Linked DNA regions of Rattus norvegicus. Each later gene encodes a partner of the first gene's protein in a complex. Links are inferred from orthologs where the notes say so. Each region holds a gene or a part of one and is shown on either strand. Other genes may lie near its edges. The genes, in order: Gabarap, Stx17, Wdfy3, Calr and Tp53inp2.

Region 1 (5,878 bases):
TGTGATTACAGGAGTACACTACCAAAACTGGCAGGATTTGGATTGCCAAGGAAAAGAGGTGTGGGAAATCTAAAAGAATTGGGGGGGAAAAGGCATTCAGAACTTAAGTGTGTGGGCCAGGTCTTCCTACTCATTACTCGTACCCTTTTGGCTTCTGTCCAGTTTCACTGTGTGAAAGTGTTATTGAGTTGTGTCTTGTCCAGTGAGACTCCGTTGTGTTAGTGTTGTCAACTGTAAGGTAGTCCACCAACGCAAGTTCCTGTCATTCCAGGTTCACTGCTGATGTCCGATCGGTGCTGAGCCGAAACCTTCACCAACATAGGCTCTGGTGACAGCTGCTCCCCCTCCACCTGAGTTGGGGTGGAGGGGAAAGGGAGGGAGAACTCTTCGGACGGCCGTCTGTAGCCCTGTCCAGTGTGAGGACTGCCTGGGCAGAGTCTGCTCCTCCCGCCCCTCTCTGCCCTGGGAGCCCTACACTCCGCTTACGGAGTCAGGATGGACACATGGGCCAGACTGTGAAGCAGCCTCACTCTTTGTGTTCACACTCCGTGGAAATGCCAGACTGGGACAGGCGAAGGCCTAGGGGAACCGAAACCGTCTGGTGAAGAGGCAGGACTGGCCAGAGTGACAGACATATCCCAGAGGCTCAAAAGAAGCCAATTCAACTTTGTTGTGATTTGATTTTTTAAAAACTCTTATACAAAACTGATCTAATTCTTCACTCCTGCTCCAAGGGCTGGGCTGTGGGTGGGGACTGGGATTTCGGGCCACTGGATCTTCCTCAGTCTTGTCCCTTCCTTACTTTTCCTCATTTTTTTTCTTTCCCCAACCCCCCAATACCTGTAATCAGCTCCTTTCTTCCTTCCTCTTTTAAACCATGCATTATAACTTTGAAACCAAAGCTGCCCTAGATCCTTCTCTGATGTTTTTGGAGGGAACTTTGTTACATTTGCTCTGCCTCTGAAGCAGAGGGGCAAGATGCTGTTTGGAGTGCGGAAGTGGGATTCAGCACAGGGATAAAGTAATTTATGCCGGTGTTTGGCTGGAAAAGCCCCACTGACTGGATAGAGTCCCTGATGCACAGTGGAAGAGCAACTTTAGGACATAGAAGGCTGAAGAGGAAAAAAATCTAGAACCCTCGAAGGGCAAACAGCTGGAGAAAGGCTGGGCTTGACTGGGAAGTTGACGTGGACAGGCTGAGAGGGCGCTGCCTACGAGCTGTTGGCACTCCGGCAATAACTTGGGGCGGAGCCCTCTTTCCTGGCACCTCCTCTCCAGAGCCGGGACTACATTTTGGCCCTCGCCACGTGATTCTCCGCCCTTTTCTGAGGTCACATGATTTTGTTTGCAACACTCCGGGATGTGTTCCTCCGCCCTGATATAGTCCCTATCTTTGGGATTTTTGCAGTTTCTATTGGTCCGCCTGAGTCTTGAGCCTTCGCTGTGTCTGCAAACCTCTTTCTTCTCCGTCTTATGGTATCCTTATTCACACCTTGGGTACTACTTTGTTTTGGTGTCAACGGCCACCTTCAGCGTAGCAACACGTTTCATGAATATCTAGACTTGTAATTGCCTTTCCCTAACGTAATTTCCGAAAATAACTGCAGAACTAAATCTCACGACTGCCACTTAGTACCACTCTCGTCCTCTGCTTTGTACTGTGGGGCTACCTGGGGAAGGATTTTTCAGTTGACTTGAAACGACAGCAACCTTATCTGCGATGTCATACGCGTAACTCACAAATTGATTCCAAAGCAGTTACGCTGAAGGCGTAAGAGGACGGAGCAGCGGGTTGCGCTAGCAAGCTGAGCTCGTGGTGTATGTCAGCAGGCGGGGCCGGTCCGGACGGTCGGGGGCGGGGTTGGTGAATAGGGAAGTGGCGCAAATTCGTGGATCGCTCCGCTGAGTCTGTTCGTCGAAGCCGCCTCCGCCGCCGTCCCCTGTCCCGGCCCCCCCCCTGGGTTCCCTCAGCCCAGCTCGGTCCAGCCCGGTTCTCGGGAGAATGAAGTTCGTGTACAAAGAGGAGCATCCGTTCGAGAAGCGCCGCTCTGAGGGCGAGAAAATCCGAAAGAAATACCCAGACCGGGTCCCGGTAAGGACTAGCCAGGGCCGACGCTAGCGTCGCTGACGCTGTCGCCACAAACTAGGCTTGAGTCTGGGAAAGCCGAGGTCAGACTCCAGTCTGCCTTGAGGTTAGAACTCTTGTCTCTGGTACCAAGGGCGAGAGGTCTGAAGAAGTAGAGCTGGGAGTGCGATGTGGACGGGAGAGAGTGAGACCTGGGAATTTCTCAGAATGGAGGCCTTAGTGAGCTTGACAACCAGAGTTTCCATGGCCATGCTCCCAAGTAGCTAGATTTAAGGTAGATTTTTTTTGACCTAAACAAGTTATCCTGTATTCACTGATGAAAATAGTTATTGTGATGAACCGTTCTGGGATCAATTCTCAATATTTAGGTAAGACAGTGAGGCCAGGATCTCTGGACCTAATGTTGATACACCACGCATGTAAGGATAAATATTATTAAGAAATGAGATTGCAATAGGCTTCAGTACAAGGAAATATTGTACCTTGAGTTCTTCATCGATATAGCTGTACGTTTTTTAAAATCTCATTCGTACCTTCCTTTCATCAGGTGATAGTGGAAAAAGCTCCCAAAGCTCGGATAGGGGACCTGGACAAAAAGAAATACTTGGTGCCTTCTGATCTTACAGGTGGGAGCTTGACCCATGGTGTATGTTTCTTTCTGTGGGTGGGCCTGCCATCTCTGTGGGAGGAGGCTTCACCTGGCAGCTGTTTTCTGGTGGCACCTACGATCTCTTTGACTTTCTTGTATCTCCTGTTTTTGGGCAGTTGGTCAATTCTACTTCTTGATCCGGAAGCGAATTCATCTCCGTGCTGAAGATGCCTTGTTTTTCTTTGTCAACAATGTCATTCCACCCACCAGTGCCACGATGGGTCAGCTGTACCAGGTATAGTACCATGGCCGTGTTTGGAGAGGAAAGAAAAGGTCAGCAGTTCCTGTTGGCTTACTAGCTTTAAAAGGTCAATAAAGTCCTGGGTTGGGATCTTAATAGCAGTGGGAGGAGAGAGGGTATGAGCTGGTGGAGTTGTTTTGACTGGGACTCTTACTACCTAAGGAAGTCTCTTTCCCTTATCCAAGAGTCCCAGATGTCAAAAAAATAGTTTGAGGAGTGGTGGTGTTGTTGGTTTTGTTGTTGTTGTTGTTGTTCTTTTTTCTTTCGGAGACAGGGTTTCTCTTTGTAATCTTGGCTGTCCTGGAACCCCCTCTTGTAGACCAGGCTGGCCTCTGAACTCCAGAGATCCACTTGGTTTTGCCTCCCTTGGGCTAGGCTTAACAAAAGGTGTGTGCCACCACTGCACTAAAACTTGACATGTAGACCAGGCTGACCTCAGGCTCAGAGATCTTCCTGCTTCTGCTTCTTGAGTGCTGGTATTAAAGGTGTTAGAAGTTCCAGTCCTGAATAACGACTGATAATGGTGCACACCTTTGATCCTCTAAGTCCAAGCACAGTTTTAATCCGATCCAGGCTGCTGGATTTCTTGGAGTTTGAGGCTATCCTAATGAGTCAGAGATACTTAGTGAGACCCTGTATCAAAAATAAGAAGTAAAAACAAAATAAAACAAATCAAAAACACCTTCCCCCCCAAATTAAAAAAACCCACAGAACCACTGCACGTTGGGTGTGATCATGCCACAGCTTCAGTCCCAGCGCTCCGGGAGCAGAGGGAGGTAGATCTCTGAATTCCAAGGTCAGTGTGCTCTACACAGGGAGTTCCAGGGCTACATAATGAGACCCTATCTCAAAAGCAAAACCTCTAAAAGATACCCCCACCCCCACCCCCACCCCACAGAGCAAGCAAACCCTTGAGAGGCTGAGGCAATAGTATCAAGTTGGAGGTCAATGGCTGCATAGTATAGTGAGTTTGAGGTCAGTCTTTTTCTTTTTTGTATTTTCCAGACAGGGTCTCTGTGTAATAGCCTGGTTGTCCTGGAGCTCACTCTGTAGACTAAGCTAGTCTCCAACTCACAGAGTTCCTCCTGCCTCTGCCTCCAAAGCGCTGGGATTGACGGTGTGTGCCACCACTGCCCAGCCAGGGTCACCATTTCCTAAAGGAGCAAGAGAATAAGGACAGTCTGCTTTTCTCTTATTCCTTTTGTACTAAGGAGCATGTCTGGTACCTACAAATGCTTATGGATGATCTGTACCTGTAGATCTATTTTGAGTCAGGTTCTTAAGTTGCCTTGGTGGCCTTGAGATTTCCGTCCTTCCTGCATCTGGAATTACCAGGCCATGCTTAAAATGATTCTTGAGGAATGTATTGGTGATAAATGGTTGGAGTAATGAGTTGCCTTAAACCTCCTTTTTGCTTTTACTTCAGGAACACCATGAAGAAGACTTCTTTCTATACATTGCCTACAGTGATGAAAGCGTCTACGGTCTGTGAAGTTGCTGTCCCGGAGGTGGGGGTTCCATTCTACAAAGAGAGGTGGCGCTCCTTCCTTGGCATCCAGTTCCTCCTTCAGGCTCAAACACCATCTCCTTTCTTCAGGACCTGCACTTAATGTTTGAGGCTGTCTCTCCAGTCCCTCTGAGCAGGAGGGGTAATGGTAGATGCAGCCGCTGTACATCTCTCTTTCCCCTTGTTTACCCTCCATTCCCACTCTGCTTTAGACTTCTGGATTGTCGATCTCTGTCACATCGGATGATTGTTTTGGTTTCTATTCCCTTTCTAACTGCCCACTGGGCTCAGAACCCCAATAAACCCTTCCTTTCACTACCTTCTTTTTGGGGGGTAGATGGAAGGGGTTGACATTGGGTGGGGGAGGTAGGAGGCACATCAATAAAGAGGAAACCACCGAGCTGAATTGAATTTGCCCTGTGTCATTCTACCTCCTGGCTTTTTGTTTCAAGTGTTGTGAACTTCAGTGGTGGGAAAGGAGGATTGAGGTATAGATCAGAGAACTAGGAAGGCATTGATGATGTTGGTCTTTCCTCCTTTTTTGATGAGTGGAATAATGTAAGCATTCTCTCATGAAACTTTAATTGTATTTATGTATTTGTGATGTAAACAAAGAGGTGGAGGTTGGTAGTGTGGGGTGGTATGGAGAAAGTTTGAAAGAACTATTTTTTGGTAAACATGTCCAAATGTTACTTCCCATTAAAGAAGATATGTTCCTGTTTGGGAGGTGGTAAAAGGACTGTCTTTAACTGGTTGTCACTGGCAGAGGTTGTGCCAGTGTATGGGATTCTGTAAAGTATAATTTGAGAGAGGGCAAATACTAGAAGGTGCCATTATCACTAGGAGAACTTCATCTCCCAACATCCATTTCTCCTGGCCGGAAGTGGGGCGGTTCCCTGTTGGTGGTAAAAAGGTACAAAGTGAGGCAGTATGGTGGCCGAGAGTTATAATCCCTTCTTCGTCCACTTTCTTGGTCCCGCCCAGCCTACACTTCCCGGGAGTCAGTGCGCACTCTTCCGCTCTCACCCCCCCTCAGCTTCGTATCTCCCCGCCACTCCCCTGGTGGTGGTGGTGGTGGTGGTGGGGAAGTTGCTTATTGCGCCTGCGCCAATCCGTGGCTTACTGGGAACTGAAGTTCCGGAGGATCTTGCATGCCCCTTTCCGCTGCCCCTGCACAGACTACAAATCCCTTGGTGCACTGCGCGACAGAGCCGGCAGGGAGGGGGAGAAGGGAGGGAGGAGAGAGGAGGAGGAGGGAGCAGGCGGCCGGCGGTGCGGGGGGAGGGGGCCCGGTCCGGGAGTGCGGGAGGCAGTGGTAGAGGGAGGAGGCGGTAGCGGACTGGAGTCTCAACCGCGCCAAGGCGGACACTTCGGTGGAGCGAGGCAGTAGAAACA
Region 2 (6,091 bases), on another chromosome or scaffold:
TTGAATAGGTGTGGAGAGAGTGGAGAGTCTGGCCTTGTTCCTGATTTTAGAAGAAAAGCTTTGAGTTTCTGTCTATTTAAGTTGATGCTGGCTATGGGCTTGCTGTAAACTCCCTTTATTTTGTTGAGGTGTGTCTCTTGTATCCCTGTTCTCTCCAGAACTTTTATCATACAGGGATGGTGGAGTTTTGTCAATGGCCTTTTCTGCATCTAAAGAGATGATCATGTATTTTTTGTCTTTGAGATTGTTGCTATCTGACGCTCCTTTTAAGTCTCCCCTTCGCCCCGCCCAACCTCACTGGGGCTATTCAGCTCCTTTGATAGGTTCTCTACCTTCTCAGAAACACAAACACACATTTTTCTCAGTGTTCACTTTCCTACTACATTTTTAACTTTGTGATTATCATTTGGGAAAGCCACCTCTTTAATCACCTTGAAGTCATTCGAACTCATTTCTACAGGCTCTATGTGGAAGCAATAGTCTTACCAGGTAATGATTTCCCTTTTTGGCTTCTTTCTGGAATGTATATTGCTTACTGTTTTGTTTTGTTCGGATCTGGTTTAGTTAGGATATCAAGAAAACTTTGTCTCATGGCAGCAGATCTTATTATCCTAATAACTTTATGGCTTAGGGCAAGAGCACAAAACCTGGTCACACTCCTTATGTCTCAATATTGAAAGATTCAATTAAATATTGTAAATTATAAGTGTAGCTAGCAAACTGTTAGATTAAATATCTTTATCTTTCTACCTGATACACCTAGGTTACAGCAAACATCATAGAGCTACCTAGAAGGCCAGATCAACCCTAGAGGGCCACAGCTTCCTGTGGCACTTTTTCAGAACTTAACACCGATTATCTTTAATTCAAAAGGTCCTGTTTAACCAATTCTTTGTGTGTGTGTGTGTGTGTGTGTGTGTGTGAGAGAGAGAGAGAGAGAGAGAGAGAGAGAGAGCACATCATCATCTCTCAGTGAACCTGGGGCTTACCAATTCAACAAGACCAGCTGTCTGCCGGGCTAGCTCATGGATCCTTTTGTCTATCTAGACAGCATTTATAAACATATGCCACAGAACTTGGCTTTTTATATGGGTGCTGGGTGTCCAAACTCGGGCCTTCAATCTTGTGCTTATCCCCTTTGCCAATTAAACCATTCCCTATTTCTCTTGTTTAACTGACTCTCTGGCATAAAAAAAAAATAAATAAAAGTTTACTAAGGTATTACCTAATACATTTACTTTTCTCCTTGGGATGAAAATTTGATAGACATACCCCATTTTATGAATTAAGGGAACCATAAACACTAGCATTCAACATACCCCAAAGAAAATCCAAATAGCTTAATTAATAGTGGGTTTTATTTTAAACATCGACTTTCAAGACTTTCTTTTTTTTTTTTTTTTTTGGTTCTTTTTTTTTGGGAGCTGGGGACCGAACCCAGGGCCTTGCGCTTCCTAGGCAAGGGCTCTACCACTGAGCTAAATCCCCAACCCCCACTTTCAAGACTTTCTTAAGCCCCTAATCTGTGGGCTAAAATTCTCCCTCTACTTTCATTCCACCTGAAGAACTGAGTTTCCTTAGAGCCAACAGGAATCTTCTTAAGACTGTTGAAAACTACCCTATCAGAAGATCCACTCTAAGCAAAAACCTGAAAAAATGTGTGTGTGTGTGTGTGTGTGTGTGTGTGTGTGTTGTGTATGTGTATGCATATTTTAGTTGGCTAGGTCTTGAGGTCAGAACATTCAGAGAGGAGGACCAATGACCTGCACACACTTCAAAGCTTGTTCTTGCAGCAGCTGGTCCAACTGGAATGACTTGAGAAGGAAAGTAGGGAAACCAGGTGTGAGTCCAGCTCTGTCACAAACGGGCTGGACTGGAGTGAGTCACTTCATATCTGTGCTGAGCCTCAAAGCGACAAGCTATCATTTTAATAAGGACAGACGCCCAAAGCACGGCAGCAGGCTGTGGACAAAAAAAAGTTCATCTCTGCTTCCTTTTGTGCCTGTGGCCATTCAGATGCCCCCTAGCCTGTCACTCAGGGGCTTTGGGAGGCGGGGCGAGGCGGGGGAGGTTGGCACACCGTTTCTGAGCTTCAGTTTCACACACCTGAAGAGCTGAGGGTACGAGGCTGTCCTCGCCAACAAAATTCAAGGAACACAATGTGCAGGAAAACTGTAACATGTAGAGGGTTGTCCGAATGTAAATTGTCTTGGATACAGTACACAAGACGACCCATAAAACAACACTTTTGGAATTGTTCCTCCAGAGGCGGGCTCTCTATCTACATCACGCCCGCTGGGGTGATGGGGGCGGGGCCGTGTAACTCCGCCCTTAGCGAGAACGCCCCGCCCCTCGCGCCTGCGCACTTTGTACCGACGGCCTCGAGCGCCTAGGCGGGAGGTAAGGGGCTGGCGGGCTGCCCCCTCGGGGGCGCTGGGCTACGACGTGGCACCGCGGGCCGGGCTGTGGACGCACCGGAGAGGCACCGGTCTCCAAGCCCGGCTTCGGGTTAGTGTGAGCTCCGGGGCCGCGAGTAGAAGTGGCCAAGCCTCCCTGGTTTCAGTTTTGGAGTAGCTGTCCCTGCGGGAGCGGGGAGGCCGAGGCCCCGCGGCGCCATGCCCTCCGGGGTCGCTATGAAGAGGTGCTCCGGGCCCTGGGTCTCTGGGCCAGCCGCGCTGCAGGGGTTGCCAGTGTAGCCCGGGTGCGCCCTGGTGACTCCATGAGGACGCCGGTGCCTAAGCAGGACGCGGAGAGGCCGCAGCTGCGGGGCCGAGTCAGCGCTTAGGCTGCGTGTACCACCCACATGCCCAAGGGGATGCATTTCTTTAGGGGTAGTGCTGTCAACTATTAGGGACATTTTTTTCTAGGAAAGGGGCTCTTTCGCTTTTAGATAACTCTCGAGTAATTTACTTCACATTTGGGTACTTTTTTCTTCTTGTGGAACCCTAGTATCATGGTACCCAATGTCATCTTAGTTGCAAGTACCAAGAGATCAAGTTTGTAAAGCACTTGACACCTCTCACTGCAAATGTGTGTGCTTGGAAAATGACTGCGGTCCTGACCTCTAAAGACTTCGAAACGATTCTTTCATCCATGAAACAGCAATTCGTATACATGCACAAACACGAAACAAAAACTTTGGAGTAATTTACAATTATTGAAAAGTCTCGTAAATTGCAGGAGGCTTTGGTGGCCCACGCCTTTAACCCCAGCACTTCCGAGGCAGAGGTAGGGGAATCTCTTGAGTTCAAGGCTAGCCTAGTCTACAGACTGAATTCCAGGACAGCCAGAACTACACAGAGAAACCCTGTTTTTAAAAAAGAAAGTAAGAAAACCGGTACTAGTAATAACAGAACACTACAGCACCCTTGTATTAGTATTTCACATACCATACATTGTACAGTCACTGAGAGCAAGAGATTAATATTAGATTAACTGGGTCTCTCTGTGATTCCATTCTTTTTATCAGAGTCCTTCCTCCAATGGGATCTAATATACAACCTTAACTCTTTATCGACCTGGCGCCATTACCCTTTCCAATCTGTAACAGTCTCATGACTTTTATGCTTTTGAAGAGTCAGGATTGTTGGTAGTGCCTTCAATCAGGAGTTTGTCTACAGTTACTTGTGACTAGATTGTGTTGCATTTCTCTTAAGAATACCACAGGGTGTAAGTACCCCTTTTCAGTGTATGCCTCCATGGAACCTCCAGATGGGACCTACTGCTTGTGTGTTGACACAATCATGATAAATTTGGTATCTGGGGGAGTCTCCATAGCAACTAGTACTCCAGTTATTCTCCCAGTACTATTACTTTGATACTGTGACAACCTTCAATTTCCCTCCTTCCTTTATTGAATTCTCAAAGGAGGAGCTTTCCACTTCTCTCATTTCTTTATCTGTATTCAATTCTTTGTGTCAACATAAACTTAGGATTGCTGGGTCCTGGTGACACATGCTTTTAATCCTAGCACTTGGGAGGCAGAGACAGGTGGTTCCCTGAGTTCAAGGCCAGCCTGGTCTACAGATTTGAGTTCCAGGACAGCCAGGGCTACACAGAGGAAGCCTGTCTTGGAAAAATCAAAACACAAAAGCTCATATGATTATTTTACTGTTATTATGTACTTTGGCCATTAGGCTTTGTGTTGTCATTATTATTTTCTGTACCTCTGACTTCTTCACCAGTTCTGGAATCAACGCCATCTCTCCTGGTCTCCTTCCCTCACCTGCAGCCCTCTCTCTGTCTTTCAGAGTGGTATTAGACACTAAGGCCTGTGGTCTAGGGGTACTCACAGCTACTAGGGTGTCATTGCACCCAGAGCCTCACAAAAGATAGCAGTACATACAGACTGGTATCTCTCTGTCTTTTTACACTACCAAGATCATCTTGGTATTGGCTCCTGCTTGTTCTCTAACTGAGGACTGACTCATTTTCTGGGAATTGTTCCCCTATCTGTTCAGTCCTGGTATATGCAGAAAGTCACTCCAGTATGTCTGAAATATACTACCCAGAGAAGCATACAGCACAACTGTTGTCACCTTACAGTGGTCACCAAACTACCATGTCCTGCTCTTTACCTGCTTCCTTCCCCTTGGTAATGCAGTCTTACTTCTCCTGTATCTTGATGTTTTTAAGTTTGCATGAAGTAGCATTTACTCTTTGATGTGTATAGGCCCATGGGTTTCGACAAGTGCAAATATAACTACTCTATGATAATAAATCCTATCACAGATACTCTTTGCTTTTTAAAAATCATTAAAATAATATAACTTCACAGAAGTTTCAGAATCATGTATTTTTGGATTTTTTTTACATGTGTAAGCTCTTTATCTTTTTAAACATGTAGCATGGTCCGACTTTATGACTAAAAAATAAAAACCAATGGAATGTACTTTCAGTCATTTTTCAAACACTTCTACAGCAGATTTTGACATTGAACAGGTATTCTTTAACAGATAACAAATGTGAGCTATTTTATTATTTGATGGCATGGTAGATGATATTTTGTTATGGTAACACAATGCCTGCAATAATTTGAATATTATGCTCTCAGATATATAATTACATATTATATATGTAAATGATAGAAAAAATTTAATTCTATCTAGAAGGGGAGTGTGAACTAGAAAAGTCTCCTAGGACACCATTTCCCTCCCCACTAATCAAACTAATCATTGGCTTGAATATGGAGAAGTATTTCTGGTAGAATGTAAATAGAAGAATCTTTAAAGGCTTATTTGGCAATGAGTATATTTTTAAAACTTAAAGTTTCTATTTTTAGCTGTCTAAGTAGTCATGGGAGGTAATATGGATTTACATATGAGGAAAGAAATCAGAATATAGTTTCTAATAGTAGAAACAGGATCATCTTAAATAGCTAACAATGGTTGATTACATTACAGAACACGCACAGTGTAATACTATGCTACTAAAAGTAGGTATATAGTAAGAATGTTTACATGGTAACATTTTCTGTATACTTGGTCATATTATTCAGTTAGTCAGTCATCCCAGCAATAGGTTATTATTTTCATTACATACTTTTATTTTCTTCATTGTTGTGTTTTTCATAATCCTTTGCAATGTTTTGTGTTTTAAAGGGGAGAAAGATGAATTCAGTAAATATTTAGTGACCATATTACCTACCAGATACCTTAACAGACTCTAGGGATCCTGGGGAGTACCAAAAAGAAATGTGCATGTTCTCTCTCTGTCTCTCTCTGTCTCTCTCTCACAAACACTCCCTTTCTTGCCCCCCCCCCAGAGTCCCTTTCCCTCTATCTGTCTCTCTCTCACACACACTTCCTTTCTCTCTGTCTCTCTGTCTCTGTCTGTCTGTCTGTCTCTCTGTCTCTCTCTCTCTCTCTCTCACACAAACACACACACACACACACACACAAAACACACTCCCTTTCCTTCTATCTGTCTCTCACACACACTCCCTTTCCCTCTGTCTCTCTGTCTCTCCTCTAGCTTGCACTCTCCTCCTCTCTCTCTCCTCTTCCCTCCCTTTCTCCCCTCCCTCCCTCTCCTTTTAGTAGTTCTTTTAATGAGGAGTTTGTTAGACTGAGCCTTGCATGTCTGAAAATAA
Region 3 (5,421 bases), on another chromosome or scaffold:
GCACTAGTGACTTTTGGGAAAGCAAATGACTGACTTTGGTGATGTAAGGAGCTGCAGCATAGAAAGGTGCAGGGACTAATGTATGGAGTGTTGTGAGTGAAGTGCGTACACAGGTGCGTGCGTGGGTGCGTAAGCCACACTGTGTGTTAGAGCTAAGTTGAATCTGGACAAACGTCTCTCTGGCCATATCAGGGAACACAGCTCATTTCTGTGGGAATGGCCCCCACACAACAGTTGTCTGGGGCCTTAGAGATTAATATACTGTTCATTTTCAGAACAGTAGAAGGTTCTGTTAGGTTTTGGGGACTAGAGTGAAGAACTACAAGCTAGGTGGTTTAAATAAACAAAAAACATCACTGTCACAGCCCCAGAGGCCAGAAGTCTAAAAGTATTAACAAAACATTGCTTCTTAAGGTTCTGGGCGGGCACTTTCACATCTCTCCTGGCTTCTGCCAAGGAAGCATCCAGCTTTCCTTGGTTTCTAGACACAGCATAATTTCCAGTTGTCTCTCTCGATGTCTTTCTGCTGTGTCCACAGTTCCCTTTCTGAATGTTTACTCATTTGTCTGAGTGTGTGTGTGTCTGTGTTCAGGTGCTAAAATAAATTGGGAGATTAATGTTCTAAAAAAAAAAGAAGAAGAAAGGCGGGTGCCCAGAAGTGCAGTCTCTTGGTAAACTCAGAACCTGCCTTCTGTGCGGGAAGAAGAAACCCATAATCAGCACGTTCTGATTCTTGCGTGATCTCGGCGATGTCAGTTCCCACGGGCTCAGCCGTAGCTTCAGAAGAGGCTATGGGAAGTGTTGGTAGGAGGAACATAAAATTTCTAATCAGTAACCGTTGGGGGTCGCCTGTCTTACCCCTGAAGTGAGTCACGTTTCTTTAGTGAATGACTCAATGATCATGGTGGGCTGGAAGAGGGCAGGACTAGGCGTCGAGGCAGCGAGTGTCATCCTCTGTGTGCAAGGGGAAAGTCCACAGAGAAGGACTGAACGGTGCATACCATGGATGAGACTCAAGGCCAGCCTGGCTCATGTGTGAGTAGGTGTGTGGAGCGTGCTCTCTCCATTCCTCTCGTTTCCACGTGCTCACACCTTGCCCGTGGATCTTCCCTTTGAGAGGCATTGTTGGAGGCAGTAGGGAATGGTGTGTGTGGAGATGTAAAGGGACAGCAGGAAGATTCAGACTCGTATTAGAAGTCACGTGGTTACTGATTGCACGGATGAGACTCATGTTTGCCGTCCTACCACCATTACCACACACACACACACACACACACACACACACACACACACACACACACGCGCGCGCTGGAACGCGCCATGGACGTGACTCACGTTTGTTCTCCCCTCGGCCACTGTAAAGAGTGCAGAGGTAATGGTTTAGAGAGGAGCATAGGAGCAAGAGGCTTGGCAGGGGGAGTTTGGAAGAGGGAGGAGGTGCTTTGAGTAGAAGGTATTGGGTAAGATTTTAGACAGTGAGGTGTCGTCGGAGACAGGTGACACCAGTGCACCCGGGCTTTCTGAAGACAAGTAAAGTAGCATCAGTGCTTGGCGCTCCTGTGAGGGGGAGCAAGCAGGTGGAGCGAGCACCTGAGGAGCCAGGCTATCTGGGAGAGCGTGGTTCGGGTTTTACTAGGAGGGATCAAATGCCATGCTAGCGATTTTCTCAGTTGTGGTCTAGGACATGGAATTCTAAGGAGGGTCCTGCGTGTTCTTACCATGTAGAATCCGGCTGCATAGACTTGGTTGTGGCACTAACTGATGAGCCCGCCATCTCTCATTCTCCCAATGCTTTACCCAGGGCAGCAAGCCCAAGATGAAGACAGCAGTGATTCTGAGGCAGAAGAGCCCAGTGTCAGCCAGGATCCTAAGGACACGCCCAGCCAGCCCAGCAGCACCAGCCACAGGCCTCGGGCAGCCTCCTGCAGAGCCACCGCCACATGGTGCACTGACAGCGGCTCTGATGACTCCCGGCGCTGGTCCGACCAGCTCAGTCTTGATGAGAAAGATGGCTTCATATTTGTGAACTATTCAGAGGGCCAGGCCAGAGCACATCCTCAGGGCTCCCACTCCCACCCCAACCCCACTGAAGCACGAAGTTACAGCAGATTGAAACCTGGTAACTTGATGTTTGCTGTCTTTCCCCCTGCCCGTGAGTGTTGTGACAGGTCCTCCGGCTATGGGTCCGTCTCCCTTGAGCTCTATCCTTGATCAACTCTGTGCCTAAGCCAAAGACAGAGGCTTCCTGTAGATCAAGTGGGGCACGCTATAGAAAAGGAGCCACAGTCCGAAAACTCCCTTGATGGAACGCCCTAGGTTCAGTTCGTCTGTCTTGACGTCTCCATTTCAGGGTACCGGTGGGAGCGGCAGCTGGTGTTCAGAAGCAAACTGACTATGCACACGGCCTTTGATCGGAAGGACAACACTCATCCAGCTGAGGTCACCGCACTGGGTGTCTCCAAGTAAGAGCCCGGCTTTTTCCAGCCCACCTCCCTCTCTGGGTCATTGGACAAGGCTAGGGACCCACATTTTAACCCGGTCCTTGAAGCACACGTTGTCCTAGCTGGTCTGGTGCTTCTGGCCTAAAACTTGCCACTGTGTGGGTTTTAATTCTCAACAAATAAACCAACATCCGTGTGTGTGAAAGACATAGCAAGTGTTGAGCCAAAGGAAATTAAAATGGGAAAATAAATTCAGGTTCAGTTTTGATTTTTGTCTCCTTTAACTTCCTCTGAGGGAATCGGGGCTCCCTCTGAGCCCCCTCCCCCCACCCCGAGCCCTGAAGCAGAGGTCGTCTCCTGTTTTGCACAGGGATCACAGCAGGATCCTCGTGGGTGACAGCCGAGGCCGAGTGTTCAGCTGGTCTGTGAGTGACCAGCCTGGCCGTTCTGCGGCCGACCACTGGGTGAAGGACGAAGGTGGTGACAGCTGTTCAGGATGCTCTGTACGCTTCTCCCTCACAGAGAGAAGGCACCATTGCAGGAACTGCGGGCAGCTCTTCTGTCAGAAGTGAGTTTCCTGGGGGCGCTGTGCCCTGCATGGGCGCTGATTTGCATGGCCGTGTCCTGTGGGGTGGGGGTTTATGTAAACCCATCGTCATTTCTGCTCTTTCCTTTTCTACAATCATGAGCGACCTCTCTCATAGAGAACACAGAAACAGCTGTCAGCCCGACTTTAACACGCATGTGTATTCCACCAGATCATTCTAGAGGCACACAGGGCATGTGCGTGTCCACCCCACACACAGAACTTGTGTCCTTCCCCATCTACTGCCCTGTGTCTCTACTGCCCTCAGTGTTTGTGGCTCTGCACACAGTGTCTCGTTTCTCCGCTGTGCACTTCTCTGTAAAGTAGTACTCCACTGTTTGAAATCCACTCACAGATGTCAGCGATCGTTGCCTATCTGCTCTACTCCTGTGCCGGGACCATGTAGGAGTGCGTGTCCCTCACACTCACCCCCTAAGGATTCCTGGGGTCGTCTTTCCATTTTGCAAATTATGTAAAGCTACAGTGTGTTCTGGTCCAAGTGCCAGAGTTCTCTGCTGGAGACAGAGTAGAACACGCCACAGCACACGGGCTTGACCCTGGGTCTTAACCGTGCCTTGTAAATGACCCTCACAACTGTGCTACTACGAGTGCCGCAGGACCTTCCAAATTCTTAGTCCTCTGTGGTACGGCTGAGCCGTTTCCCCTTTGCCAACTCAGTGGCTAAGGAAATAAATGTGCCTCGAGGGTTTAACCTCAATGCTGGGGACCCTGGTGATCTTCTCAGATGCCACTGGGAGACTCCTCATTTTCCTTGAAGGTTTGTCTCTTGCACTCTTTTCTCCCTCTTGGCGGTCTCTCTCCTTGAGTTCCATGGGTACTAGGACCAGATCCTTCCGTGTCTGCACACACTTCCTGCAAGTCTGGGGCTTGTATTGAGTTTTGCATTTGTGCTGTCTTAGTACTAAGGTTCCAGTTTTGGTGTGGTTGCACTTACTATATTTGTGGTGTGTGTGTGTGTGTGTGTGTGTGTGTGATTTTAAGGTTTGCAAGTTTCACTTTTTAATCTATTTGGAGTCTGCATTGGGTCATGGGCAGGAGTCTATCTTGGCCCAAAATGAGGATGAACTCGCTATCCCCCGATTACACAGACAGCCCCCCCTCACCCAGCACACACACCCCAATTACACAGACAGCCCCCCTCGCCCAGCACACACACCTCGATTACACAGACAGCCCCCCTCGCCTAGCACACACACCCCGATTACACAGAAAGCCCCCCTCTCACCTCGATTACACAGACAGCCCCCCTCGCCCAGCACACACAGCTCTGTACTCTGACTCTCACAGTGCCTCCGTCTAAATGCTTCACAGAAAATTCCTGAGTAATCATTTTCTACAGCAAGTTCTGAGGTTTCATAGGCAGTGTATGGATTCTGGTGAGGAGGTGGCCTTTCCAGTGACTCTGATCTCTGTTCACCATTACCTCGGGTTAAGTGACTGAAAACCTTGAGCTTGTTCTCTGTGGCTAAAAGATGGATAAAGACAGCTTGCCCTGAGAGCAGCCACAAGGACCGGATGATGTAAGGATGGGAACGTAAGGATGGCAAGGGGGTGAACGGGTCGTAGTTACTATTTATTTATTTATTCTGGGAAGTAGGCTGCAAGATGAATTAGCAGGCACGCCCTGCCGGCCTTTCTGGGTGGGGCCGTCACGGCCGTGTGTTCTGACCCTGCAGTTACAGGTGGAGCACAGCCACCTTGCTGCTCTTGGGAGTGCTGTCCAAATATTAAGTATAGGTGATTCCTAAGTCAGCCACTGTTCTCATTGGGAGCACTGACTGCATAGTGCCAGCTGCTGCCAAGCCAGCCCAGGGGAAAGTTCTGTAGAGAGTAGAACCCGGCCCAGCCTTCCTGCTCTGCTGCTGAGAACAGCCACACTCCTGAGGGTTTGCACAAAATCTGACATAGCCAGCCCAGTCACCCTCCTGAGCACCCGGTTGTCCACAAGCCAACTGGATGGAGGTGTCCTTCATTTGAGACTCTCCGAAGGTGACTTAAGTGTCACTGGTACAGCTCCACAAGATGTACAGATCTCAGTTTAAAAACTGAATGTGAGGGGTTGGGGATTTAGCTCAGTGGTAGAGCGCTTGCCTAGGAAGCGCAAGGCCCTGGGTTCGGTCCCCAGCTCTGAAAAAAAGAACCAAAAAAATAAATAAATAAACTGAATGTGAAACTCCAGCGTAAGGCAACAGTGCCCCACAGCATCGCTCCAGAGTGGCCAATCGTGAATGTCCCAGAGCAAATTGAACTGAGGAACATTTGTGCCAAGTGAGGTAGGCCGTGCATACAGAGAAAGACCGTATACGGACGACGGCACACGTTCATGGCCATACGCTGAAGCTAACAAAGGCTGGCCTGACCTGGAGGTGGACT
Region 4 (6,141 bases), on another chromosome or scaffold:
CATTAATTGGGCTGGAGAGATGGCTCAGTGGTTAAGAGCAGCGACTGTTCTTCCAGAGGTCCCGAGTTCAATTCCCAGCAACCACATGGTGGTTCACAGTCATCTGTAGTGGGATTCGATGTCCCTTTCTGGTGTGTGTTAAGAGAGAAACTCATTATTTAAGCCCGTTACACATCATTTCTAGTACTTCCTGATTCCAATCCGGTTATAGACAAATCATGTATTCAGGTTTCATCAGTTTAGACCCCTTTCTCCTCAGCTTCAAAACACCTTATTTTCTTCTTTTGTGACAGGATCTCACTATGTAACTCTGACTGACCTAGACTGCACTAAGTGACACCAGGCTGACCTGGAACTCATTGGCCCTCCCAATGCTGGGGCTGAATGTGTGCTTGGGTCAGAGGACTTCAGCTCTCACCTTCCACCTTATCTGACACCGAGTCTCTTGTTCTTTTTTTCCTTCTGGGTTACAAGCTAGCAGGTCAAGAGCTCCTGGGTGACTCCCATGTTCCTGCCTGCGATCCTGCTGAAGTTGACAGCTGTGCTTTGCCACATTTGGTTTCTTTTTTAGTTTTTAAATTTCATTTTATTCGTATAGGTGTTTCGCCTGCACGTATTTCTCTCTACCATTTGATGTCTGGTGCCCACAGAAGAGGGTTTCAGACCCTTTGAAACTGGAGTTACAGGTCATTTTGATGCTTCACGAGGGGGCTGGGAATAGAACTGGGGTAGTTCGAAAGAGCAGCCAAAACAAATCTCTCCAGTCCATTATTTCATTGTGCTGAAGCAGGGTCTCATGTAGCCCAGGCTGGCCTCAAACTCACTACATCATAGCTGAGAATTACATTGAACTTTTGATCCCTGCTTCATTCAACTTCTTAAGTACTAGGACAAAGCAGAAGGCATATGTGTCAGTCACAGGACTGGAGACAGGGCCAGTCACAGGTCTGTTGGACTTGGGTGTCCTCCAGAGGGACCTACACCAGCAATGCTTAGTTCTGGACACTGCCTGGGGAACAGAGTGGACCCCCAACTTCTTGACCTTAAGTGTCATTACTGCTTGAGTTCCTCTCACTGAGAAGGAAGCACTCCATTTTTGTAAGGATTCCTTCTGTGCAGTTCCTTGTCTGTTCCAGTGTTCCCAATTCCTCAGTTTGGAAACACCTCCCATCCCCCAACCCCTACAGGTACTGTCCTTCCTCCTCCTAGCAGCAAGCAGGGTGCTGGCCACAGTCACATGATTTGAGTCAGAGGCCTCCAGATCCAAGGGTCCTGCTTATCTCCTTAGAACTCTATCACCACAGCCATCTGTGTCCTTTTTCCTTCTCAAACGGCACCCCTTGCTGTCTGCTCATAGCCGTTTAATTGCAAAAGCCAAGTCGTTTGTGGGAGACCACAAGAAGTGACTCTTTCCATTTTCCAGCGTAAGAGTAAAAAATGATAGAGGTAGGGTTACTACCTCTCACCCAAGGACACACACTTACATTCACACCGATGAGACCACTATGTTTCCTGCTCTCAAACCGTGGATAGCCCTGAAAGGTTTAAGAGCATTTCTGTCAGATAGCTCAGGGTCACCCCTGTTGGCTTCTGAGATTTCAGGGAGGCGAAGTGACTTGTATCATGTCACACAGTAGTCTGACAGGCTGTCAGGGAACTACGGGACAAGAGGAGAAAGCTGGTACATTCTCTACTGGCCTGAACAACTGGGAACCAGAATGCAGCGAAACCCCAGGATCCTGGCCCTTGACCTTATCCTGAATAGGAAAAGCTTGCCATCGGTGGGCGTTCCCTAAGTGCAGTATAGATGGAACATCAAAGTTGCAAAGAATCCTTGCTTCTTCCCTCTGACCAGAAAGGATGGAAAAAGGCCGAGACGAGACGGAGGCCCAGTCTCGGTCCCGCACGGTTAACACCCGGTACTGCTCGCGCGGATTCTTTAAACGACTTCATGGCGAGCAAGGGACTCTCACCAGCAAGGGCGGGGTTGGGCTGAGGCTCAGTCACGTGACCGCGCCTGAGTGGGCTCGCGGCCCCCACCCCAACAGGGGGCGTCCCCTACAACGCGTGGTCGACCCTGATTGGCCCAGGGTGCGGCCAATAGAAATCAGCCATCTGGGATCCCAGCGTTCCGAGCCACAGCCTAACTTGCTGAGGCGACTAGGACGCAATGAGAAGGGACAGCTGTAGGTCTAAACCAGTCAGAAGGACCGAGGGGCGGGCTCAGCGGTCGTGTCAGGTTGGGATGAGAGGTAGGTGGATATAAATTGGAGCAGCGGCGGCCGCGTCCGTCAATACCGCAGAGCCGCTGCTTGAAGATCGTTTTAAAGGGCCAGTGTGCCGCCGCCCCCTCGGCCCGCCATGCTCCTTTCGGTGCCGCTCCTGCTTGGCCTCCTCGGCCTGGCTGCCGCAGACCCTGCCATCTATTTCAAAGAGCAGTTCTTGGACGGAGGTAAGGTCTGGGCCCGCCTCGAGGCCGCCTCAGCGACTGCTGGGCCCCGAGCCCTCGGCTGCCTCGTCGTGTGTAAAGTAATTACCGTTCAGAGGGCCAACACTGTGGCCCCGGGGGGACTAGAGCCGCGGGCGGTTCCATTTGTGCGTCCTTGGGGGACCAGGAAGGCGCAGCGGTTTCCCGCGCCCGGAGTTAAGGTTCGTTCAAGGACCTGAAGCCGATCGAGGTGTCAAGTTCGAGGTTGGGATGGGAATCCCCTTCCCCACCCCCACTTGCTTGTAGCTCCTGACAGACGTTGGTTATGGGGGCGGGGGTCGGACGGTCCCGCTGATCTGACTCCTAAGCCTTTCTCTTTCAGATGCCTGGACCAACCGCTGGGTCGAATCCAAACATAAGTCTGATTTTGGCAAATTCGTCCTCAGTTCTGGCAAATTCTACGGGGACCAGGAGAAGGATAAAGGTACGAGGGAGTGGGTGCTTGGATTCAAGACAACTTCCTGGAGGAAGCTCTTGTCAGTGCACACAGCTTGTTGGAGCTTTTCCCAGGAATGAGGGAGCCAATGACAGGTGGAGGAAGGAAGGGGCGGTCAACTGTGCCCCTCAAGGTCTAGGGTATTTGGGGTCCACCTAACGACAATCCCATTTCATCACAGGGTTGCAGACAAGCCAAGATGCCCGATTTTACGCGCTGTCCGCCAGATTCGAACCCTTCAGCAACAAGGGCCAGACACTGGTGGTACAGTTCACCGTGAAGCATGAGCAGAATATCGACTGTGGGGGCGGCTACGTGAAGCTGTTTCCGGGTGGCTTGGACCAGAAGGACATGCATGGAGACTCAGAATATAACATCATGTTTGGTGAGGGGCCCCCAGCCAATGCTGACCTCTGCCGGTTGGACAGTGGGTGCGAACTGAAACCCTTTATAACTAGAATGCTGATCTTCATATCATGGAAAGCACTTGAATGATTTTTGTCCTGAGGGGACAACTAAAGGGTTTACTTTATTAGTTGGTGGACTCTATTAGTTGTAGATTTATATTGTTCATTTTTATGGTATTTTCTACATGTTTCTTAATTTTAGAAATGATGCTAATGACAGGGTCAAAGAAATCACTGGAAAAAGTGCAAATTTTTTATGTACCTGTGTATGTACTAGTGTGAAGGTCAGAGGGCAACTTTGGAAATCTCTTCTGTCATCTGAGTTCCAGGATCAAATTTGCATTATCAGGCTTAGTGGCAAGCACCTAATTTACCCCTGAGCCCTTTGCTGGCCCAGAATGGTACTCTTTTCAGATTTGTAGTCTTTGATGCCTTTAATAGGTATATTGAAATCAGGTGCCTCTCCATGATTCCTGAACAGCTAGGACTTCGTAGAGATCCTGTCTCAGGGGAAAAAAAAGACAAGATCAGGTCTTTATTTCTAGATAGCCATGGTACATTCCAGCATTCACACTACTGAGGTAGGTGAGTACTTTAAAGGCAGCTTCAGTTAAAGGTAACAGTATCCTCTGTCAAAAACAAAATAGGAGCTGGAGTGGATGCAATGGTTTCAAAGAACTGAAGTTCAGTTCTCAGCACTCAAACAGTAGCTCTCCAACTCCAGTGCCCTCTGCAGGCTCCTGTATATGCATGGTACACACACACACACACGTACGTACATACGTACGTACATACGTACGTACGCATAAATACATAAGGTTAGGTCTTTCTTCCCCAAGGGTAGAGCCTGCCATCAGCCTGCATATGCTTCCTACATAGGTCCGGACATCTGCGGTCCTGGCACCAAGAAGGTTCATGTCATCTTTAACTACAAGGGCAAGAACGTGCTGATCAACAAGGATATCCGGTGTAAGGTGTGTCTGGGGTAGTCATTTAAGTGGCTGTCACGGGAGGTCCAGGCAGCCTGGTGGGAGGGACTGCTCACCTCCTTCCTTCTTCAGGATGATGAATTCACACATCTATACACGCTGATTGTGCGGCCAGACAACACCTACGAGGTGAAAATTGACAACAGCCAGGTGGAGTCGGGCTCCTTGGAGGATGATTGGGACTTTCTGCCGCCCAAGAAGATTAAGGATCCTGACGCTGCCAAGCCAGAAGACTGGGATGAACGAGCCAAGATTGATGACCCCACAGATTCCAAGCCTGAGGTTAGTGTTGGGACAACAGCTCCACCTCCATCCTAGGGGGAGGACCCTGGGTCCCCCTGACCTCCCTGTATATTCCTAGGACTGGGACAAGCCAGAGCACATCCCTGACCCTGATGCTAAGAAGCCTGAGGACTGGGACGAAGAGATGGATGGAGAGTGGGAACCACCAGTGATTCAAAATCCTGAATACAAGGTAGGCTTGGGTGTTGAGGTGCTGCTCACTAGTAGGGTGCTTCCTTTGGTGCTATGATTGATGTCGCACCACAGGAAAAAGACAAGATATGCCTTGGGGTTCTAAGCAGGGTGGTTGGTTGTACTGTGGGATGTGTCCACCTCTGTTCATCTGGTTCTCTTCTACAGGGCGAATGGAAGCCACGTCAAATTGACAACCCAGATTACAAGGGTACCTGGATACACCCAGAGATTGACAATCCTGAATACTCCCCCGATGCGAATATCTATGCCTATGATAGTTTTGCTGTACTGGGCTTAGACCTCTGGCAGGTGAGACATAGGAAAGACAAGGGTTCCTGGCAGACCTCAAGTAGTCAGGATTGTACTGGTTGATCTGGAGGGAAGAACAGGCAGAGGCACCAACCTCAAGGTGTTTAAATTCTGAAATGTCCACTTATTGAGACATTTCCTGTTTTATCTCCTTTTTTTTTACTAACACAAAAGAAAGCTGATTTGTTATTGAAACGTTTTTATGTGTGTCGGTATACATAGAGGAAAAAAATTGTTGGAGAAGTTGGTTCTCTTCACCATGTGAGTCTTAGGAATCAACTCTGGTCGTTAAAAAAAAGCTTGGCAACCAAGTACCTTTATTTGCTGAGCTGTCTCTGGCCCCACTGAGCACCTTTCTGTAGGGCTACTTGGCATGTGCTAAGTAAGTCCTTTGCTAAAGTGCCCCTGCAAAATCAGCTCAGATCACCCACTTACAGCTCTGCTCACTGCCCACCCTGGCTACATAACAAAATAAGATTTGAAAAAAACATTAGTACTGAGTTTTTGTCATTGGTATGTTTTCAGTTCTCCCCAGAATGCCTGTTTTACAGAGGGAGGAGTAGTGCAAAAAGTGAAGTCAGTATTCCTGGTCATTAGGGTTTGAGTTCTGGAAGCATGGCTTCTGAACTACAATGTCCCTAGCATCACAGCCCATGCCACCCTTTCAACCCCCGCTCCACCTTTTTTTTTTTTTTTTTTTTTAAGATTTTTGAGATGGGGTTGGGGATTTAGCTCAGTGGTAGAGCGCTTGCCTAGGAAGCGCAAGGCCCTGGGTTCAATCCCCAGCTCCGAAAAAAAGAACCAAAAAAAAAAAAAAAAGATTTTTGAGGCAAGGTAGTCTTAGTGTATGTACTGGCTGGCCTGAAATTCCTCACTCCCTCCTCCCTTCTCAGCATACCAACATGCTTACATATACCTACATACTTTTAGACACGATCTCACTATAATCCTATATTGCCTTGGAACTCCACAAGAAGTCTGGCCTCTGCCTTCTCTGTGCTGGGATGGATCTGAGGCATGTCATAACCACACCCT
Region 5 (6,163 bases), on another chromosome or scaffold:
AAGGGCAAGGAGCAGCAGGGGGCGGGGGCGGGGGGTGGACACACACACACACACACACACCGGACACAGGGGATGGGGAGAGAAAGGGCATCGTTAGTCAGACCTGCAGCTCTATCCATCGTGCCCCGAGAGCACCTGAAGGGCCAGGATCCTTAGCCCGCTGCCCTAGGGATCCCAGGTGTGTATGACCCAACAAATGCCAGGGGACAGGGCTTTCAAGAGAAGGGTCTACGTTACCTCACCTCTGGGCTCAGTGCTTCAACTTTACTTTGCCCAGCAGGCCTAGGGGGAGTCCAACTTCCAAATAGTCCCCTTCCCCTTCCATATTGCAAAGCCTCCTGTCCTCATTATGTTTCATGGACTAGGAAATCAGAATGCTGGCTCCTGACTCGAGCCTCACCCTGTAGGTCAATGATGAGCCAGCCGTCCACTTCATCCTCCTCAGAGACAAAGGCCCCCGGACAGTTGGAGTCTTCAGGAGGTGCGGGGGTGCTAAAGAAAAGGCTGGTGAAGCGCTGGAACATGGTCAGCGGGTGAAGCAACCTCAAGGGGGCGCCCTATGGCAGTTCAAAGACCTAGGAAGCATAGAAAGACGTTAAGGACCACAAACTAAAGTCAGCCCTTCACTTGGTAGCTGAAGACAGGGCTAAGCCCCTAGCTACCACAGCAGTGACAATAGAGAAGCTTATGGTGTGTGCTTTTCTGCACCCAGTAGGTGTTCCTGTTTGCATTTAGGAAAGTGTTGGGTCTTTCCTTCTCATCTGTCAAATGACAACAGTAATACCCTAATAAGAGTTAAATGGGGGCTGGGGATTTAGCTCAGTGGTAGAGCGCTTACCTAGGAAGCGCAAGGCCCTGGGTTCGGTCCCCAGCTCCGAAAAAAAGAACCAAAAAAAAAAAAGAGTTAAATGAGCCAAACACTTAATGACATGTTTAGAGCAGTGCCTTGAGCACACAGTAAACATTCAATAAGCTAATAAACTTGGTGTTATGGCAGGGTGCTTTGGGGATATGGAAGAAGTGATATATATGACCAGGCTTTGCCAGGGTAGGTCTCTAGAGGAAGACACAGCCAACCTGGGCTTTGAAGAGTAAATAGGAATTTTCCACTAAGGGAAAAACATATCCTTACTATCATCATCATCCTTACTAACATTCCTGTGTCAGTAACATACACTACACTAACTTCATCTATTTGTCCTCACAGTGGATGAAGGGACAAACCTGGAATCTCAGTACTTGGGAGGTAGAGGCAAGAGGACAAGAGTTCAAAGACATGATGACCCCACGTCTGTCATCCTAGCCCTTAGAAGGTGGAGGCAGGGGGATCAGGAGTCCAAGTCCTGGTTAGGCTACCTAGTGACTTTAAGGCCAGTCTGAACTACATGGGACCCTACCTAAAACACTAAACAGCCTCTGGCTACATGAGATCCGTCAAAGGGACTGAAAAGGAGCGGGAGGGAGAGAGAATATTTTTTCTGGTAAAGAGAAAAATAAAACAAGGCCCAGAGAGGTTAAGTTCACTACCTAGTCTCACAGCTAGTAAAGTGCACAGGTAGTATTTCAATCTACATAGTTAGTGGCACCCATACTCACTACAGTCCACTACTGTCTAGATTAGGCCTTTTTTTTCTTTTTTTCTTTTTTCTTTTCTTTTTTTTTTTTTTTTTTTTTTTTTTTTTTTGAGCTGGAGACCAAACCCAGGGCCTTGCGCTTGCTAGGCAAGCGCTCTACCACTGAGCTAAATCCCCAACCCCTAGAATAGGCTTTTTTAACTTAATAAATAGGCCTGTGGCTACGTGTAATTTTTCTAGGAAAAAAAAATCTTGGACTTCAGCAAGGTTTTCTAAGCAGCAGCCTTTCATAGACCAAGAATAATTAGTGGGGTTTGAAAGGTGCTCCCTAACAGAAACCTCACAGTTCTTGCTACAATCTCCCAATGAGATTGGGCAACCCTCAGATGAGGGGGACCTATGCCCACAGGTCCTCCCCACAACTCTAACCCCACCCCCCTTTTCCTAGATTCTTGTTCAAAGTCAGCATCCCTGGCCAAGAGACAGAATATTGGCTAGTGAGACAACATGCCAGAGAGAGATAGTGGAAGAAGGAAGCTGTCAGATGCGAGGAGCCCTTGAGGATAAACTCAAGTGTTGGACCAAGACCCAATCCTTCCCTGGACTAAGACAAGAAATTTCCTGTTCTAGGAACATTCATCTACCCAATAAAGCTATAGCTTAATGGTGGTGTGACAATGCAGAATGCATATAATCAGAAAAACCTCAACAGATAATATCCAAGAATGATGCAAACAGGGAGAGCAGACACATGCCCTGGTCCAGCCAGCACCCTTGTGCCTATCCACTGAACAACGTAGAAATCCTGGCATCAAACTTTAGCACGCATTTCCCATGGTTCACACTGCGTGCCAGACCCTGACAGGAGCCTTTTCAACTGTTGAAAATGTTGAGTGAGAAGCTGCCTGGTGGAGATCATACAAAAGTTAGTGACAGCCAGTCAGCCAGCTACAACTGCCCCCTCCTCCTCTGACCACTAGGAGAGCCTCCTGGCTTCCTGGTTCTCAGATTCCTGGCTCTGCTCCAGGAAGAACCATTCCCTTAATCCTACAGCAGCTGTGCCCAGAATAGCACTTGAGGCCAAAGCCAATCCCAGCCCAGGCCATTCTTGAGCGACCCCCAACCTGGGAAGGACTCCAGATCTACTTACTTGGAAAGTAAGAAACATCCTTCTGTCACCCTGGAAGCAGACTCGGGAAACAGCCTAAGCACTGTAATCACTAGTGCCAGGCTCTCCCAGCTGCCGGCTTGGGATCTGATGGGAAGCCAATAGAGGGAACTCCCAACTCGCTCTCAACAACATCTGCCCTGGAGACACCTGGAGGCAGGCAACTAGTGACTCACCTTTCTGTGGTCAAAACAGCTGGGAGACAGCAATTAACTGGGTTCTGAGGTAGAAAGAAGGCAGAGGAGGTCGGGGCCTTGTAAGGGACCCAATTTTCAGAGACCCCCTGGGAAAATGACCACGATCAGGAAGAAGACTGAAACACCCATCAAATTGGGTTGGTGCTGAACCCAAGATAGGGTCCTCAGTAGATGGATATATAGCTTGTACCTTGTACTTCAGCTAAGGGATCTGTCGCTTATTGGGTGTGATTGTAATTGGCTGAGATCTCTAATAAACTACGTCTCTCTGAGTCTGTTTCCCCCTCCGTGAAGTGGGCGTTAAGACCCTCAATATTTGTAGGCTGAAAATGACATCAACTAAGTCTCTGCACACATGCCAGGGATTAGAAGAATGTTATTATGTTAGGGGGCGGAGCCTGAAGACTGAGGGGATCCGCTACCATCTGGTGCTGTCTCCAGGACCTGGAGTCTGAAGCTTCCTTCATCTACCTTCCACCCTCTCGACTTAAATCGAGTTTTGCCATCTGACCCTTCTTCAGGTCGCAAGGAAAAAGCAGATGAGATGCCTGACCTCAGTCCCTAGATTAGCTCGGGGAACCGCCGAGTGCCCTCGGGTCTCGCTTGCCTTTCAGCGTCTCTCAACCCTCGACCGGCCGGGCACAACATAGCGCCCACCGGGTCACCAGAGGACAAGCACCCAAGCAAGCCTGGAAGGCGGGGCTGGCCTTGGTGACGTCTCAATGTCATATGCAAATAACGCGACGTCATGGCCTACCGGCTTAGGGCAACCAATAGGGAGCCAAGAACGCAGCTCCGGCTGCCGCCGGCGGAGACAGACAAAGAACGGGAGAGGGGGGCGCAGGGCGTGTCCTGGGGGTGCCCGGAGCCCCCAACCCCGAGGTCGGGACTCACCTGGGGCCGCTGCAGCAACCGCTGCGCTGAGGTAGTTGTGCGGCCGGGCGTCCCCGGGTCGCCGGTGCTCACAACCGGAGCTGCATACCGGGGACAGGCCGAGAGACGGCGGGGCTCGCGAACGGACGCCCGGAGCTGCTGCGGCCGCTGCAGCCGGGGCTCAGGGCACAAATCCGAACGCTTCAACAGCTGATTGTGACGTCACAAAGGGGCCCGCCCGCTCGCGTCAGCGGCCGTCGGAGCGGCGGCCAATCGCAGGCGTCGAATGCTCTTTCCCCGCCCCTCCGCGGCTTGCCAGCGGGTGGCTGCATCCCGGGAGCTGCGCTCCCAGCCTCTGTCTGAGTGGAGGTGACGGCCCGAATTCCCTGCCCCCAGTCACTCACAGACCTCACACTGAAAGCGACCCCCCAATTCTTCCTCAAGAATCCCACCTCGCCGCTTTTTCCGCACATATCCCTGCTCCCTCACTTGTCCCAGCGCTCCGCACATCCTTAGCCTTCATCTTAGGTACAGGACACCCACCCCACTCACCCCCGCCGCGCTCCATCTGTAAGTCCCTTCCCCCCCGCCCCCGTCCCCCTTGTTCTTTACCCCACTTCTCCACACTGTCGTCCTTGTCTGCTCTCCCTCCTCTGTCTTACCCCTACACGTTTTGTTTTCCCCCACGCTCTCCTTTTTTTTTTTTTTTTTTTCCCCCGGTGGGTTTGAGCAGACCTTGCCGGTTCCGCGGTTACAAAGAAGCACCTGCGAGTTAGGGAACTGGTAGGGCTGACGGGAAATCTGGCCAGCGTGGGACTTGGAAAGAAATTGCTCTAAGCTGAATAAACATTGACCTGGAGACAGCTCAGCCTAGAACGTTTACATACCTTATTTAGTCCTTATTTGCTACCGGAACAGGACAGAGGGAGGAGTGACAGACAGGACAGGGATTGTTAAGTCCTGATTTACATGTGGAAAAACTGAGATTACATGTACCTGCCTTTAATTTCAGCACTTGGTAGGTAGAAATAGGTTCAAGAGTTGAAAGGCAGCTTGAGCAACAGGGAACCCCAAGAGAGGGGAGGGAAAGAAGGGGCAATTACTATTGCTTCTTCCAGACTGCCAGCTGACTTTGAATACTTAACATATGCCAAGCACTGTGCTGCTTTTTAATCTTCACAATAAACCCAAAAGGTGGGCATTATCCTCCTTTTATAGTTAAAGAAACAGACTAGGAGGTTCTAAGTAACTTCCCGAGGTAATTAAGCAATAGTCAACAGCAGAGCCAGGAGTTTTAACAGGAGTTAACTTACAGGCACCAACTAGCCTTGACTGATCACTACCTGCACCAGAGGGACTGAATTCCAGGATTCTAATGTCTGCAGGGAAACCTGGCTTCCAGTCCTGTGTCTCAACGATGTGATTTCAAGTAAGTCCTTACTATTCTGGGCCTTAGTTTACCTGACATGCTGCCATAGGTGTCCAAACTTAGAGCTGACAGGGTTTTCCAGACCCTTCATCCTCAAGACTCTGCCAAGTTCATGCTCCAGGCTTGAGCTCTTGCAATGGCCCGTGAAATCCTTAGGGGATTTCCACTGCTAGAGCATCTGGGTCTTTAGAACAGAGTTGGGAGATGAAGCTCTGAGAGTTGCCCATCTGGCCAACAGGAGCTAGTTCAGAGCTCCATGCTCTGGTGATTTCAAGAACCCTGCCCCAGCCTGGTCAGAAAGCTATAAGGGAGGACTGAAGCCTGCCAGGCAGAGGAGACAGCCAGGAAATAATACCCAGAGGCTTGGGGGGAGACGATTAGCACTGTGTTCCTCACACTAGGGTTTCCAGTGTGTCCTCATTTGTGCAAGCCCGAGCCTCTGCCTAGCACAGCCACTTCCTGCTAATCTCATACCCTCCCTTGACCTCCTTGCTGACAAACTAATCACTAATGTGTCCCTCCTGTCATACCGCCTGTTTCCTCTAAAACCTTACATTCTCACAAAGCCCCACAACCCCAACAACACCGATGGTTCTTCACAACCCAGACCCGGTTCTCAACAGCAGCTCCTCCTTTCTTCTCTGTGTACCCTGTGCTAGTAAATCTTTGTCTTTTCAAAACTCTCTCCTCTGTCTAGATTGCCTTCTCTGAGCCTTCCTAACATTCCTCCCTGTCTTCAAAATTCGACTAGACAGTGATGACTTTGATGGACGGTCTCAATTGTTTTTTCAACAAATGGAAGTGTCTGAGTGTGTTGCTTACACTCGTAGTCCTATCTACCCAGTGTCTGGGATAGCCTGGGCTACATTTCGAGTTAGAGCACACATGGTCTATGAGAGAGAGAGAGAGAGAGAGTGTGTGT

What was found.
Region 2: the proteins of Gabarap (region 1) and Stx17 are in contact, whole or in part, in a crystal structure (PDB 7BV4), measured with the Homo sapiens proteins. The link is inferred for Rattus norvegicus from reciprocal best matches to the Homo sapiens genes GABARAP and STX17. Residues at the interface, in NP_009209.1 of Homo sapiens: Tyr5, His9, Lys13, Glu17, Lys20, Ile21, Arg28, Pro30, Lys46, Lys47, Lys48, Tyr49, Leu50, Pro52, Leu55, Gln59, Phe60, Phe62, Leu63, Lys66, Arg67, Phe104; in NP_060389.2 of Homo sapiens: Ala169, Glu170, Ser171, Trp172, Glu173, Thr174, Leu175, Glu176, Asp178, Leu179, Glu181, Leu182.
Region 3: the proteins of Gabarap (region 1) and Wdfy3 are in contact, whole or in part, in a crystal structure (PDB 3WIM), measured with the Homo sapiens proteins. The link is inferred for Rattus norvegicus from reciprocal best matches to the Homo sapiens genes GABARAP and WDFY3. Residues at the interface, in NP_009209.1 of Homo sapiens: Glu17, Ile21, Lys24, Tyr25, Arg28, Pro30, Lys46, Lys48, Tyr49, Leu50, Val51, Pro52, Asp54, Leu55, Leu63, Lys66, Arg67, Phe104; in NP_055806.2 of Homo sapiens: Glu3342, Lys3343, Asp3344, Gly3345, Phe3346, Ile3347, Phe3348, Val3349, Asn3350, Tyr3351, Ser3352.
Region 4: the proteins of Gabarap (region 1) and Calr are in contact, whole or in part, in a crystal structure (PDB 3DOW), measured with the Homo sapiens proteins. The link is inferred for Rattus norvegicus from reciprocal best matches to the Homo sapiens genes GABARAP and CALR. Residues at the interface, in NP_009209.1 of Homo sapiens: Glu17, Ile21, Tyr25, Arg28, Pro30, Val31, Ile32, Lys48, Tyr49, Leu50, Val51, Pro52, Leu55, Phe60, Leu63, Ile64, Arg67, Phe104; in NP_004334.1 of Homo sapiens: Asp199, Trp200, Asp201, Phe202, Leu203, Pro204, Pro205.
Region 5: the proteins of Gabarap (region 1) and Tp53inp2 are in contact, whole or in part, in a crystal structure (PDB 8T31), measured with the Homo sapiens proteins. The link is inferred for Rattus norvegicus from reciprocal best matches to the Homo sapiens genes GABARAP and TP53INP2. Residues at the interface, in NP_009209.1 of Homo sapiens: Tyr5, Glu17, Ile21, Tyr25, Arg28, Pro30, Val31, Ile32, Lys46, Lys48, Tyr49, Leu50, Val51, Pro52, Asp54, Leu55, Gln59, Leu63, Arg67, Phe104; in NP_001316358.1 of Homo sapiens: Glu31, Val32, Asp33, Gly34, Trp35, Leu36, Ile37, Ile38, Asp39, Leu40, Pro41.

Annotation. Positions count from the first base shown.
Region 1 is NC_086028.1:55,211,569-55,217,446, forward strand, and holds Gabarap (gamma-aminobutyric acid receptor-associated protein), read left to right. Parts: upstream 1-1,896; 5' UTR 1,897-2,002; coding exon 2,003-2,092; intron 2,093-2,633; coding exon 2,634-2,712; intron 2,713-2,851; coding exon 2,852-2,970; intron 2,971-4,402; coding exon 4,403-4,468; 3' UTR 4,469-5,219; downstream 5,220-5,878. Other genes in the region: Ctdnep1 (CTD nuclear envelope phosphatase 1), read left to right, coding at 272-332. UniProt on the Homo sapiens protein: Ubiquitin-like modifier that plays a role in intracellular transport of GABA(A) receptors and its interaction with the cytoskeleton.
Region 2 is NC_086023.1:67,239,367-67,245,457, forward strand, and holds the start of Stx17 (syntaxin-17), read left to right. Parts: upstream 1-2,376; 5' UTR 2,377-2,400; exon of another isoform or gene 2,401-2,508; intron 2,509-6,091. UniProt on the Homo sapiens protein: SNAREs, soluble N-ethylmaleimide-sensitive factor-attachment protein receptors, are essential proteins for fusion of cellular membranes.
Region 3 is NC_086032.1:8,105,613-8,111,033, forward strand, and holds part of Wdfy3 (WD repeat and FYVE domain-containing protein 3), read left to right. Parts: intron 1-1,801; coding exon 1,802-2,119; intron 2,120-2,350; coding exon 2,351-2,462; intron 2,463-2,811; coding exon 2,812-3,009; intron 3,010-5,421. UniProt on the Homo sapiens protein: Required for selective macroautophagy (aggrephagy). Acts as an adapter protein by linking specific proteins destined for degradation to the core autophagic machinery members, such as the ATG5-ATG12-ATG16L E3-like ligase, SQSTM1 and LC3.
Region 4 is NC_086037.1:40,211,069-40,217,209, forward strand, and holds the start of Calr (calreticulin precursor), read left to right. Parts: upstream 1-2,298; 5' UTR 2,299-2,361; coding exon 2,362-2,452; intron 2,453-2,810; coding exon 2,811-2,912; intron 2,913-3,105; coding exon 3,106-3,309; intron 3,310-4,210; coding exon 4,211-4,305; intron 4,306-4,392; coding exon 4,393-4,602; intron 4,603-4,681; coding exon 4,682-4,795; intron 4,796-4,962; coding exon 4,963-5,106; intron 5,107-6,141. UniProt on the Homo sapiens protein: Calcium-binding chaperone that promotes folding, oligomeric assembly and quality control in the endoplasmic reticulum (ER) via the calreticulin/calnexin cycle.
Region 5 is NC_086021.1:164,340,004-164,346,166, reverse strand, and holds the start of Tp53inp2 (tumor protein p53-inducible nuclear protein 2), read right to left. Parts: upstream 4,031-6,163; 5' UTR 3,834-4,030; intron 3,790-3,833; exon of another isoform or gene 3,493-3,789; intron 2,963-3,492; exon of another isoform or gene 2,725-2,962; intron 576-2,724; 5' UTR 525-575; coding exon 401-524; intron 365-400; exon of another isoform or gene 120-364; coding exon of another isoform or gene 104-119; intron 1-103. UniProt on the Homo sapiens protein: Dual regulator of transcription and autophagy. Positively regulates autophagy and is required for autophagosome formation and processing.